Linked DNA regions of Macaca mulatta. The protein of the gene in region 1 purifies or fractionates together with the protein of each later gene. This does not show direct contact. Links are inferred from orthologs where the notes say so. Each region holds a gene or a part of one and is shown on either strand. Other genes may lie near its edges. The genes, in order: WDR20, PHLPP2 and FBXW5.

The links.
Region 2: the proteins of WDR20 (region 1) and PHLPP2 purify together in Homo sapiens (affinity purification with mass spectrometry; 4 studies listed by BioGRID and IntAct, with this or other methods). This does not show direct contact. The link is inferred for Macaca mulatta from reciprocal best matches to the Homo sapiens genes WDR20 and PHLPP2.
Region 3: the proteins of WDR20 (region 1) and FBXW5 purify together in Homo sapiens (co-immunoprecipitation; 3 studies listed by BioGRID and IntAct, counting the BioPlex papers as one, with this or other methods). This does not show direct contact. The link is inferred for Macaca mulatta from reciprocal best matches to the Homo sapiens genes WDR20 and FBXW5.

The regions. Positions count from the first base shown.
Region 1 is NC_133412.1:175,551,960-175,555,614, forward strand, and holds part of WDR20 (WD repeat-containing protein 20), read left to right. Parts: intron 1-652; coding exon 653-835; intron 836-1,588; coding exon of another isoform or gene 1,589-1,619; intron 1,620-3,476; coding exon of another isoform or gene 3,477-3,569; intron 3,570-3,655. UniProt on the Homo sapiens protein: Regulator of deubiquitinating complexes. Activates deubiquitinating activity of complexes containing USP12. Anchors at the base of the ubiquitin-contacting loop of USP12 and remotely modulates the catalytic center of the enzyme.
Region 2 is NC_133425.1:68,207,427-68,211,081, forward strand, and holds part of PHLPP2 (PH domain leucine-rich repeat-containing protein phosphatase 2), read left to right. Parts: intron 1-559; coding exon 560-706; intron 707-1,103; coding exon 1,104-1,334; intron 1,335-3,457; coding exon 3,458-3,655. UniProt on the Homo sapiens protein: Protein phosphatase involved in regulation of Akt and PKC signaling.
Region 3 is NC_133420.1:5,526,177-5,528,448, forward strand, and holds the end of FBXW5 (F-box/WD repeat-containing protein 5), read left to right. Parts: coding exon 1-86; intron 87-454; coding exon 455-602; intron 603-675; coding exon 676-888; intron 889-966; coding exon 967-1,210; 3' UTR 1,211-1,715; downstream 1,716-2,272. UniProt on the Homo sapiens protein: Substrate recognition component of both SCF (SKP1-CUL1-F-box protein) and DCX (DDB1-CUL4-X-box) E3 ubiquitin-protein ligase complexes.

The DNA.
Region 1 (3,655 bases):
GGATTTTGACCCAGGAAGGGAGCCACCTGTACAGAGTGGGCTCCAGCAGTGGGTCTTAGACTTGAGTGGGCATCAGAATCACCTGGAAGGCTCTTTAAACTAAGGCTTGCTGGCCCTACTCCCATAGTTTCTGATTCATTTAGTCTGGGGTGAGGTTTGAGATTTTTGCATTTCTAAGTTCCCACGTGCTGCTGCTGCTGCTTCTGGTTTGGGGACTACACTTTGAGAACCACTGGGCTGCAGGTAACTGGCCAGTGGGCATTTAGGTGCTGTAGATACATTGAAAGCTGAGCTTGTTATGTGGTCACTCTGTTAGACACTGCTTGAAATGCATTTTGAAAATACTGAATTTAGTATCTCAAGGATATTTCCTGCTGAAGTCCAGGAGTCTTTGTTACATGTACTTGAAGGAGAATAAGTTGTGAAAGTAACAGTTATAAACATATTATAGATAGTCTAATAATATCGAATTGGCTAAGGTATGTGAAAGTGCTTTTATAAAATGTTAGATGAATGTTGTCACAACTGAAAAAATATTTTAAATAACTTCGTTTTTAAGATTAAACATCATAATGGAGTATAAAATAGCATAACTTAGATTTCTCATCTCAATGTGCTGTTTACTGTATGTATTTTTCTCTTTCTCCTCCAGGCTGCTGACTTGAGTAAACCAATAGATAAAAGGATATACAAAGGAACACAGCCTACTTGTCATGACTTCAACCACCTAACAGCCACAGCAGAAAGTGTCTCTCTCCTAGTGGGCTTTTCCGCAGGCCAAGTCCAGCTTATAGACCCAATCAAAAAAGAAACTAGCAAACTTTTTAATGAGGAAGTAAGTAGCACCCCGTCTTAGCTGTTAAGAATCCCTTTAAGAGTTGATACATTCTCACCGAGGTTAGTGGGCCTTATTTTGCACTTCAGGCTAAGCCCATTTTTTATTCGCCCAGCCCTCCTACCTAGTATGCCCAAGTTTAAATGTGGTGGATAAATTTGTTGACCTTACCTGTTCTTCCTTGGGGTAACTGTTTTGTGCATTTTTATGGAGCATGCTCAGGTGTCTATAACAGTTGTTTTAAAACTCTTCTATAATGGAGATAGGGACAGTACTGTAACTCGGTATTTATAATTTAAATAAGAAAATATAGAATTCCAAAGTTGGTTTACATCACCAGAACATTTCATGCAGATCAAAGAACTTGATGACATTTCCTTAGGCTGCTTAAATTGTAGCTAAAGCTTCTGTATGTGTGTTTGACAGTTATTTGGCTAAGGAGTACTTCACTTGCTCTTGAAAATAGTTGCTGTAAACTCACCTTTGACATAGTTAGAAATTCTGGCACTTAAAGTTTGGTCACATGACATAGCTTTTGCCAGTGTTGTAGTATGTACTGGGGTTTCTAGTATCTTCAATTTCATTCTGGAAAGAGCCTGAGATATCTGAGCTGTCTGTTCAGGAACATGTCAGGGCTGTTAAATGTGGCATATAGAAATTGCCAAGTAGATTATATTTTTTAAAGCTGTTGGAGCATCTTTCAGCCTCAAGTATTGCTATTTCATATTTAATGTTCTTCCTCCTCTGTTTCAGTATGACTTTTCTACCAAGTGGGAAAGATAAGGTAGGCTTGCTGAGTTAGAAACCCTGGGTTCCAGTCTCTACTTGGGACCTTGCCGCTGAGGTGCAAGGGTCAGGCTATGTAGGACCCCCTCCCTTTTGCATTGTTGCATGGTTTGAACATCATTAACTTGGAACAAAAACACATTATAGAATATGGTTTTTAAGAAATAATTTTGTTTGGGGAAGAAAGTTCAAATTGACAAATAAATGGCAGTTAAAATTTGGATTCTTCTGCAGTCGTGGTGCTTGCTATCCATGCAAATCAGCGTCCACCCAGGGTGCTCCTGTCTGACTTCGCCAGTGGGTTTGATAAGATCTTAGGAACCATGCCGTCTCTTCTAGTTTCCTCTGAGTTGACTGGAAATAAAACTTGCCATCTGGACTGACACACTGTAGAGGAAAAGTATTTAATCCCATTTTGCATTAAAAAAAAGTGAAGCAGAAAATATTTTATTTACCTAGATGTTTTGTTAGTATCATCTGAGGAAGTGATTTCTGAGTAGCTGGATGATTATTTTTTTGGTGCTGGGTTGCGGGAGCAGCACACAAAATTGGCCTCCTGTGCACTGTTAGCAGAAATTGTGAATTTGGAATCATTGTGGGTTTTTATTGTTTAGGTAAGGGAGAGTGTGATTGAGGGGGCAGGGATTGGAGCCATGTACAGGGCTGTTAGTAAACAAGACCCGGAGGCAGCCCTGGCCGAGGATGGTACAGAATGCCGCTTAGAGAACAAGAAAGTTTTGTGTGTCGTGGCAGGGGGAGGGCAGGGAGTTGGAGACCACACGTCCCCAGAGTTTCAGGGCTCTGGGAGCACCCAGGCTGCGTCAGCCAGAACTCGCTGCCCTGGTGACTGGGAGTTGCAGGCTGGAAGGCAGCTCCTCATTCTTCATGATTTAAGCATGAGTTTTCTCATACTCATTTTACATTTTATTTGAAAAATTGCTATTTAGAATGCTAGGACTGTGTGTGGTTTAATGCCAGCTTGGCATTTACAGCTTGAGGCTGAAATTGATTGCCCTTCATAGTAAGGAAATTCTCTGGCCGTGTGGATACATTTTTATCAGATTTTGGTCAGAATGTCTAAGAGCAAGAGTCACTGGAGGTTTGTTCCTTAGAGAGTGCCAGGAATGGTGGTGGAGTAGTCATCGTGTCGTGCTTTGCTATGGTGTGAGATTTACAGGTTTCAAGGCACTTTTACCTGTGGCCTCTATGGGGAGGGTGGGCAGTTATACCCATTTTACAGATGAGGAAATAGTCAAAGAGCACGTAAGTGAATTGTCCAGATCAGGTCGCAAGTTGATGACAGAGTTGGAACCAGAATTAATCCAGAAACTCTTATTGGTTACAGGCCCTACCATGCATGGTTGCCAGATCAGCTCTTGCCCTTCTGGGAGCTCACAGTTTAGTAAGGATGGACAGAGAGTACTGGGCGTGTGTCAGCATAGCGATATGAACAAAATACCAAGGGGTAGCTGCCGCAGGAATTCTTCAGTATGCATCACATAACATAAGGTTTTTAAAAATGTTAAGTTCACTGGGGGAGTTCCAAGAAATGCTTTCAGAAAGTGACATTTGATCTGGGTCTTAAAGGGTACATAGTCGTTAGAGGAGGGTAAGGAAGGCCTTCAGAGCTGGAGGAACAACTGGGCATGTGAAAGAACGTCCAGGAACAGCTTGGCCACATCACAGTGTGGGACTTGGAGTGGCAGGGTTCGAAGCTGGAAAGATCAATTGGAAGCAGCTTGTACTATAAAAGCCCTTTCATGTCACGTGAAGAAATTTGGAGCTGACACTGGAGGATGTGGGGGAGCCTTTGGCCTTTTAATCAAGGGAGTGACAGGATCAACTGTGTTTTTAGAACTCTTGTCAGCACTTGTGGAAGGCGGATTGGAATGAAGACAGACAGGATGAAGGTAGCAAGACCAGTGAGGAGGCTCTAGTAACTGTCCAGGTGAGAGCTGAGGGCTTGAACTGGAGTTGTGGCCATTGTTTCATTCATTCAGGACCTGACTTCCTGCCACATGCCCAGCACTGGGT
Region 2 (3,655 bases), on another chromosome or scaffold:
ACTATTTTGTGTATCAGGTCACATAATGGTAAAATGCTGTCACATTCATTATTTTCAAGCTCTAACTGGTTTATTCATTTTATGTGACATTTGAGCCAACATAATTTCAGTATGAAAAAAGAAGTTGCTTATTAAAAATGGGATTTGATCTACATATTTGTTAGCTGTTGCTCTATGAGTTGATTAATTCTTGCAAGGCTTTTGTGTATTACATGTAGAAATTTAATGAAAAATTTCAAGCATATCAAGTATGATGAAATACAAAAGAATTATACCAGCATGAGCTGTTCTTCAAGATTGTCTACCTTTTTAAAGAGAAAAGAGAGCTCCTGTAATGCTAGACCTGGTTTCCTTCATCACATGGACTGTGCATTAGTCATCTTGGTGTCCTCTGTCCCCACTCAATGTTTGATGTGTAGCGAGTGCTCAATAAGTATTTTTGGAATAAATTCTATTATAGACATTTAAAATGGATTATCAAAGGCCATTGATGTCCCTCGTAAAGATATAGTAATAGATGTATTGAAATGCAGTATCCATTTTTGCCTTTGCTCTTTAGATTTTCTCAGCTGAAGGGCCTGAACTTGTCCCATAATAAACTTGGGTTGTTTCCTATATTATTATGTGAGATCTCTACCCTGACTGAGCTCAACCTTTCCTGTAATGGATTTCGTGACCTACCAAGTCAAATTGGCAATCTGCTAAAGTAAGTAACTTTTACTAGATTCATCTTTTCCCTTGCAGGATAAGGAATTTGCCTGGGGTTTGGAATGAAGGTAGTACTGTGAGCTCTTGCAGTGAAATAAATCATGTACTTACTAGGATTCTAGTCAGCAGCAGTTTTTGACATCATAGATCTACCTGCCTGTAGCAGGGACTGATCCCTCAGCTTCAACAGCAGAGGTCTTAACTCTTTTAATGTTGGGGTGACCATTTGTGTAAGTTATGTGTAAGTCATCTATTAAGTCTGTATAGATGGAGAGTTAGGACACTACTATTTTTGGATTGATAATTAGTGACATAAATCAGAATCCGTAACTCTGATTCTATGCATTCCAGTGAAACCTTCCATAAAGTAGACTTGTTTTGTTTTCTTCCTGTAGTCTTCAAACCCTCTGTCTTGATGGCAACTTTCTGACTACTTTACCTGAAGAACTGGGAAATCTACAACAGCTTTCCTCTTTGGGAATTTCGTTCAACAACTTTAGTCAAATTCCTGAGGTTTATGAGAAACTCACTATGTTAGATAAAGTGGTTATGGCAGGAAATTGCCTGGAAGTCCTGAACTTAGGGGTGCTGAATAGGATGAACCATATCAAGCATGTGGATTTAAGGTAAGGTTATTCTTTACCGCAGCTTCCTTTAAATTGACTCTGTTGGACCTTTATGTCTTCTCTTTATGAAGATTTGTTTAAGACATTAGGGTTTTTAAAATTTTGTTGTCGTTGTTTTGAGACAAGGTCTCACTTTGTCACTCAGGCTAGAATACAGTGGCACGATCTCAGCCCACTGCAGTCTTGACCTCCTGTTCTCAGGCGATTCTCCCACCTCAGCCTTCCAAGTAGTTGGGACTTCAGGTGCGCACCACTAGGCCTGGCTGATTTTTTTTCTATTTTTAGTAGAGACAAGGTTTCACCATGTTGTGCAGGCTGGTCTCAAATTCCTGGACTCGAGCAGTCCACCCACCTCAGCCTCCCAAAGTGCTGGGATTACAGGTGTGAGCTGCCATGCCTGGCCCGTAACATTAGGTGTTTTGAACAGTATAGAAATGTGTATTTTCAAAGGTATAGTAAGACTTTAGTTATCATTCAGTAGCAGAGAGATTCAGGATCATGTAGTTGTACCATGTGATAGAGACTATCAAATTGCCTTGGACAGAGGTTGTTTTTGCTCACCTTCCCATCAATGTATATTTTTTATTTTTTAAATTTTTTGTAGAGATGGAGTCTCACTGTGTTGCCCAAGCTGGTCTTGAACTCCCTGGCTCAAGTAATCCTCCTGCCTTGGCCTCCTAAAGTGTTGGGATTACAGGTGTAAGCCACTGTGCCCAACCCCTCCAACATTGTAGGAGAATTCCCATTTTCTCATATCTTTGTCAGTGTTGGATTTTAGCATTTCTTTTTCTTTATCATCAGTCTAGTAGATTGAAACAAGTATTTCATTGTTTTAATCAACATTTATTTACAGAGCAGTGAGGTTGAACATCTTTTTATATGTATATTAGTAGTTTGTAGATTTCCATAAATGACATTTTTCTGTTGAGTCATTAGGTTTCTTCTTGATATCCATTGTATTACAATTAAAATGTTAAAGGTTTCATTACTAAGAACCTTTTATGAGGGTTTTATTTTCTAGTCATAACCTTTTCCTAATTGAAGCTGGTAAAAAGACACCTATTGGGTGTTCTGTAATTTACAGTAAACCATTGATGTACCTTGTAAAGACAGTAACAGAGAGTTTTTGTTTTTGTTTTTTTAACCACACTGGAGACTTGAGAGATTTATAGAAATACAGGAAAGTGAGAACAGACCTGCATAAATTAAATCATATACTTGTACAGAAAAGAACTCAGAGGTCATTTTGTATAATTTACCTTTGAACTCTTCGGTATATGTGTGTGTGTGTATATATATGTGTGTGTGTATATGTATATATACATACACAGATTATTTCCTTGTCAATTAATTTTATGTGAACCTTAGCACTAGAGATAGAGCAGGCATAGCAATAGGAGGAAGTATGGTTCTATCCTTATACTCTGGACATGGTACTGTTGTGACTGTTTTGCTACTGTCTCACTCAAAAGGTTGTGTTCATCTTCCTGTTCCTTTGTCCTACTTAGTGCCCACCTGACCTTATTAGGTGTTTGGATATAAGTGTTTAACTTGTTCAGGATATGGCCTCTTTTTTCCTTCTCTTTATTAGTTTGTATATGTATTTGCCAATCTGGATTGTCTGACTTAGCTGTACCTTGAGTTATTCATCAACTGTAGTTATTTATATAGTATCTTGCAAAATGAGGCAAGTAGTGAAATTCTTAAATTGTTTAGGAAACAGAGAAAGGGAGCTGGGCATGGTGGCTCACACCTGTAATCCCAGCATTTTGGGAGGCCGAGGTGGGCAGATCATCTGAGGGTAGGAGTTCAAGCCTGGCCAACATGGTAAAACCCCATCCCTGCTAAAAATACAAAAAATTAGCTGGGCATGGTGGGGGTGCCTCTAATCCCAGCAACTTGGGTGGCTGAGGCAGGAGAATCACTTGAACCCGGGAGGCGGAGGTTGCAGTGAACCAAGATCACGCCATCGCACTCCAACCTGGGCAACACAGCGAAACTCCGTCTCAAAACAAAAAGAAAAGGAAACGGAGAAAGGGATCATGCCTGTCCTATTTTTTATTCTGGTAAGCACATTTAATAGACTCTTGTTTCTGATTATTTTCTTGTTTCTGCATATTAAGGATGAACCATTTGAAAACCATGGTTATTGAAAATCTGGAGGGAAATAAACACATCACCCACGTGGATCTGCGGGACAACCGACTGACTGACTTGGATCTTAGCTCCTTATGCAGCTTGGAACAGCTGCATTGTGAGCGGAACCAGCTGAGGGAGCTAACACTCAGTGGCTTCTCCCTTCGGACCCTCTATGCCAGTTC
Region 3 (2,272 bases), on another chromosome or scaffold:
GCCCCCTGAGCGCAGTGCCACAGGCGCCAGGAGCAAGTACCTCATCTTCACCACTGGCTGCCTCACCTACTCCCCACACCAGATCGGTACACCCCTGCCGCCATGCTGCCCGCCTCGGTCCTAGCAGCTTGGGGGAGGCCGGGCAGGGGTCCTGGGGGGCAGACGGCAAGCAAGTTCACAGGCACAGCTGGGATCATTCACTCACCCCGGGGTCACAAGCCCAGACCTGGCCTCGTCTGGGGTCTGCGGGATGAGCGGTGAAAACAAACAGGCAGGCCCGCTGGCCAGTGAGCAGCTGAGGGGCCTGATTCAGGTCTGGGGCCCCCGGAGCAGGCAATGCCCGCAGACCTCTGCGGTGCCCACAGCCCCAGAGACACTGTTGGGGTAGGGGGCTGTCCTGGAGTGACGTCCCCGGGGCACTGGGCAGGGACCCTCACCGCAGCCCTCCCTGCAGGCATCAAGCAGATCCTGCCACACCAGATGACAACGGCGGGGCCCGTGCTGGGCGAGGGCCGGGGCTCTGATGCCTTCTTCGACGCGCTGGACCACGTCATAGACGTGCACGGGCACATCATTGGCATGGGCCTGTCGCCCGACAACAGGTGGGCCTCTTGCCAGTGTCCCAGGCGGGGTGCCCGCAGGTGGCCCATACCTAGCACAGTGCCCCTCGCCCAGGTACCTGTATGTGAACAGCCGCGCCTGGCCCAGTGGTGCGGTGGTGGCTGACCCCATGCAGCCGCCACCCATCGCGGAGGAGATTGACCTGCTGGTGTTCGACCTCAAGACCATGCGGGAGGTGAGGCGGGCTCTGCGTGCGCACCGCGCCTACACGCCCAACGACGAGTGCTTTTTCATCTTCCTGGACGTCAGCAGGGACTTCGTGGCCAGGTGCAGGGCGCAGCGTGGTGCAGGGCGGGCGTGGGCGCAGCAGGCGGGCGACCGGCTCATCCAGGCGCTGTTCTGCAGTGGGGCGGAGGACCGGCACGGCTACATCTGGGACCGCCACTACAACATCTGCTTGGCCAAGCTGCGGCACGAGGACGTGGTCAACTCAGTGGCCTTCAGTCCCCAGGAGCAGGAGCTGCTGCTCACGGCCAGCGACGATGCCACCATCAAAGCCTGGCGCTCCCCACGCACCGTGCGCGTCTTCCAGGCACGTCGTCCGCGGCCTCGCGCCTTCTTCTCCTGGCTTGCCAGCCAGAGGCGCTGAGGGGTGCTGCAGGGTGCACTGGAGCCGCTGGGACCCCTCGACGCCACCCAGGCTCTGTGGTTCTTTCCCGAGCGGGAGAGGTGGAGACGCTTGTAGCAGTTACGCCTTAGGAAGGGGACAGCCAGGCCCCGCCACGCTCTCACACGCAAACCTGCTCACGCAGCTGTGATGCTTGGCACAGGGTGGCCAGTGAGGTTGGAAGCCAAGGTCCCCTTGGCCTCCTGGCCAGCTTGGGGTGCACAGGATACTGGGGGTGCCGCTCCTCGCTCATCCCTAGGCTAGGGGTTCACCCGCCCCAGCTGGCCTCAGCCTGGGGCACCCTCGGCTGGTCCTGCGGGGCCCTGGACAGTGGCCCAGCAGTGGCAGAGGCTGCTGGCTCTGGCAGCCTGGCTGTGGTTGTGCGCCCGGGGCTTGGGAGCGGCCAGTCACACTGCTGTGGGCCCGAGTGTGTTGCATGTCCACGCACCACCCGTTCAGGGCCCTGAATAAACAGTTGGCAACAGCACGTTGTTGTTCAGTCTCTGTCTGCAGGGAGGGAGACCATGGGCCCCACTGGCACAGTGGAGCGGATCTCGTCACTACTGACGGGTGACGTCACCGCTGGCATAGTGGCCCCACTGGAGTGGTTGTTGCAGTCACTGCTGACAAGTGACATGTGCGTCTGAGGTCATGTACTGGTGCCAGACTTTGTCACACTGCCCTGTCCCCCCTCTGTGACATCCAGGGAGATGCCTGGCACATCTGCCGGGGCTGGCAGCATGGAGGGCCTGCTGATTCCAGGGTCAGTAGGCCGCGTCGCTCCCAGTGCCAGGGCAGCCTCCACAGTCAGTCCCGTCCTTGAGGGAGTGCCTCGGCTGCTGGGGGCAGGGAGGGTGTTGGGCAGAGCTCCTCAGAGTTCATGCCGAGGAGGAAGGGACCAGGGGCCCAGAAGTGGCAGCAGAGGTGCAGCTCCAGCTGGACGTTGCAGGCTTTGTCAGAGCTGCACCGGAGCTCAGGGGGCCCAGGGTGATGGTGGTGACAAGACGGCAGGAGGAGAGCCTGGCATCCGGGTCCGCTGCCCGT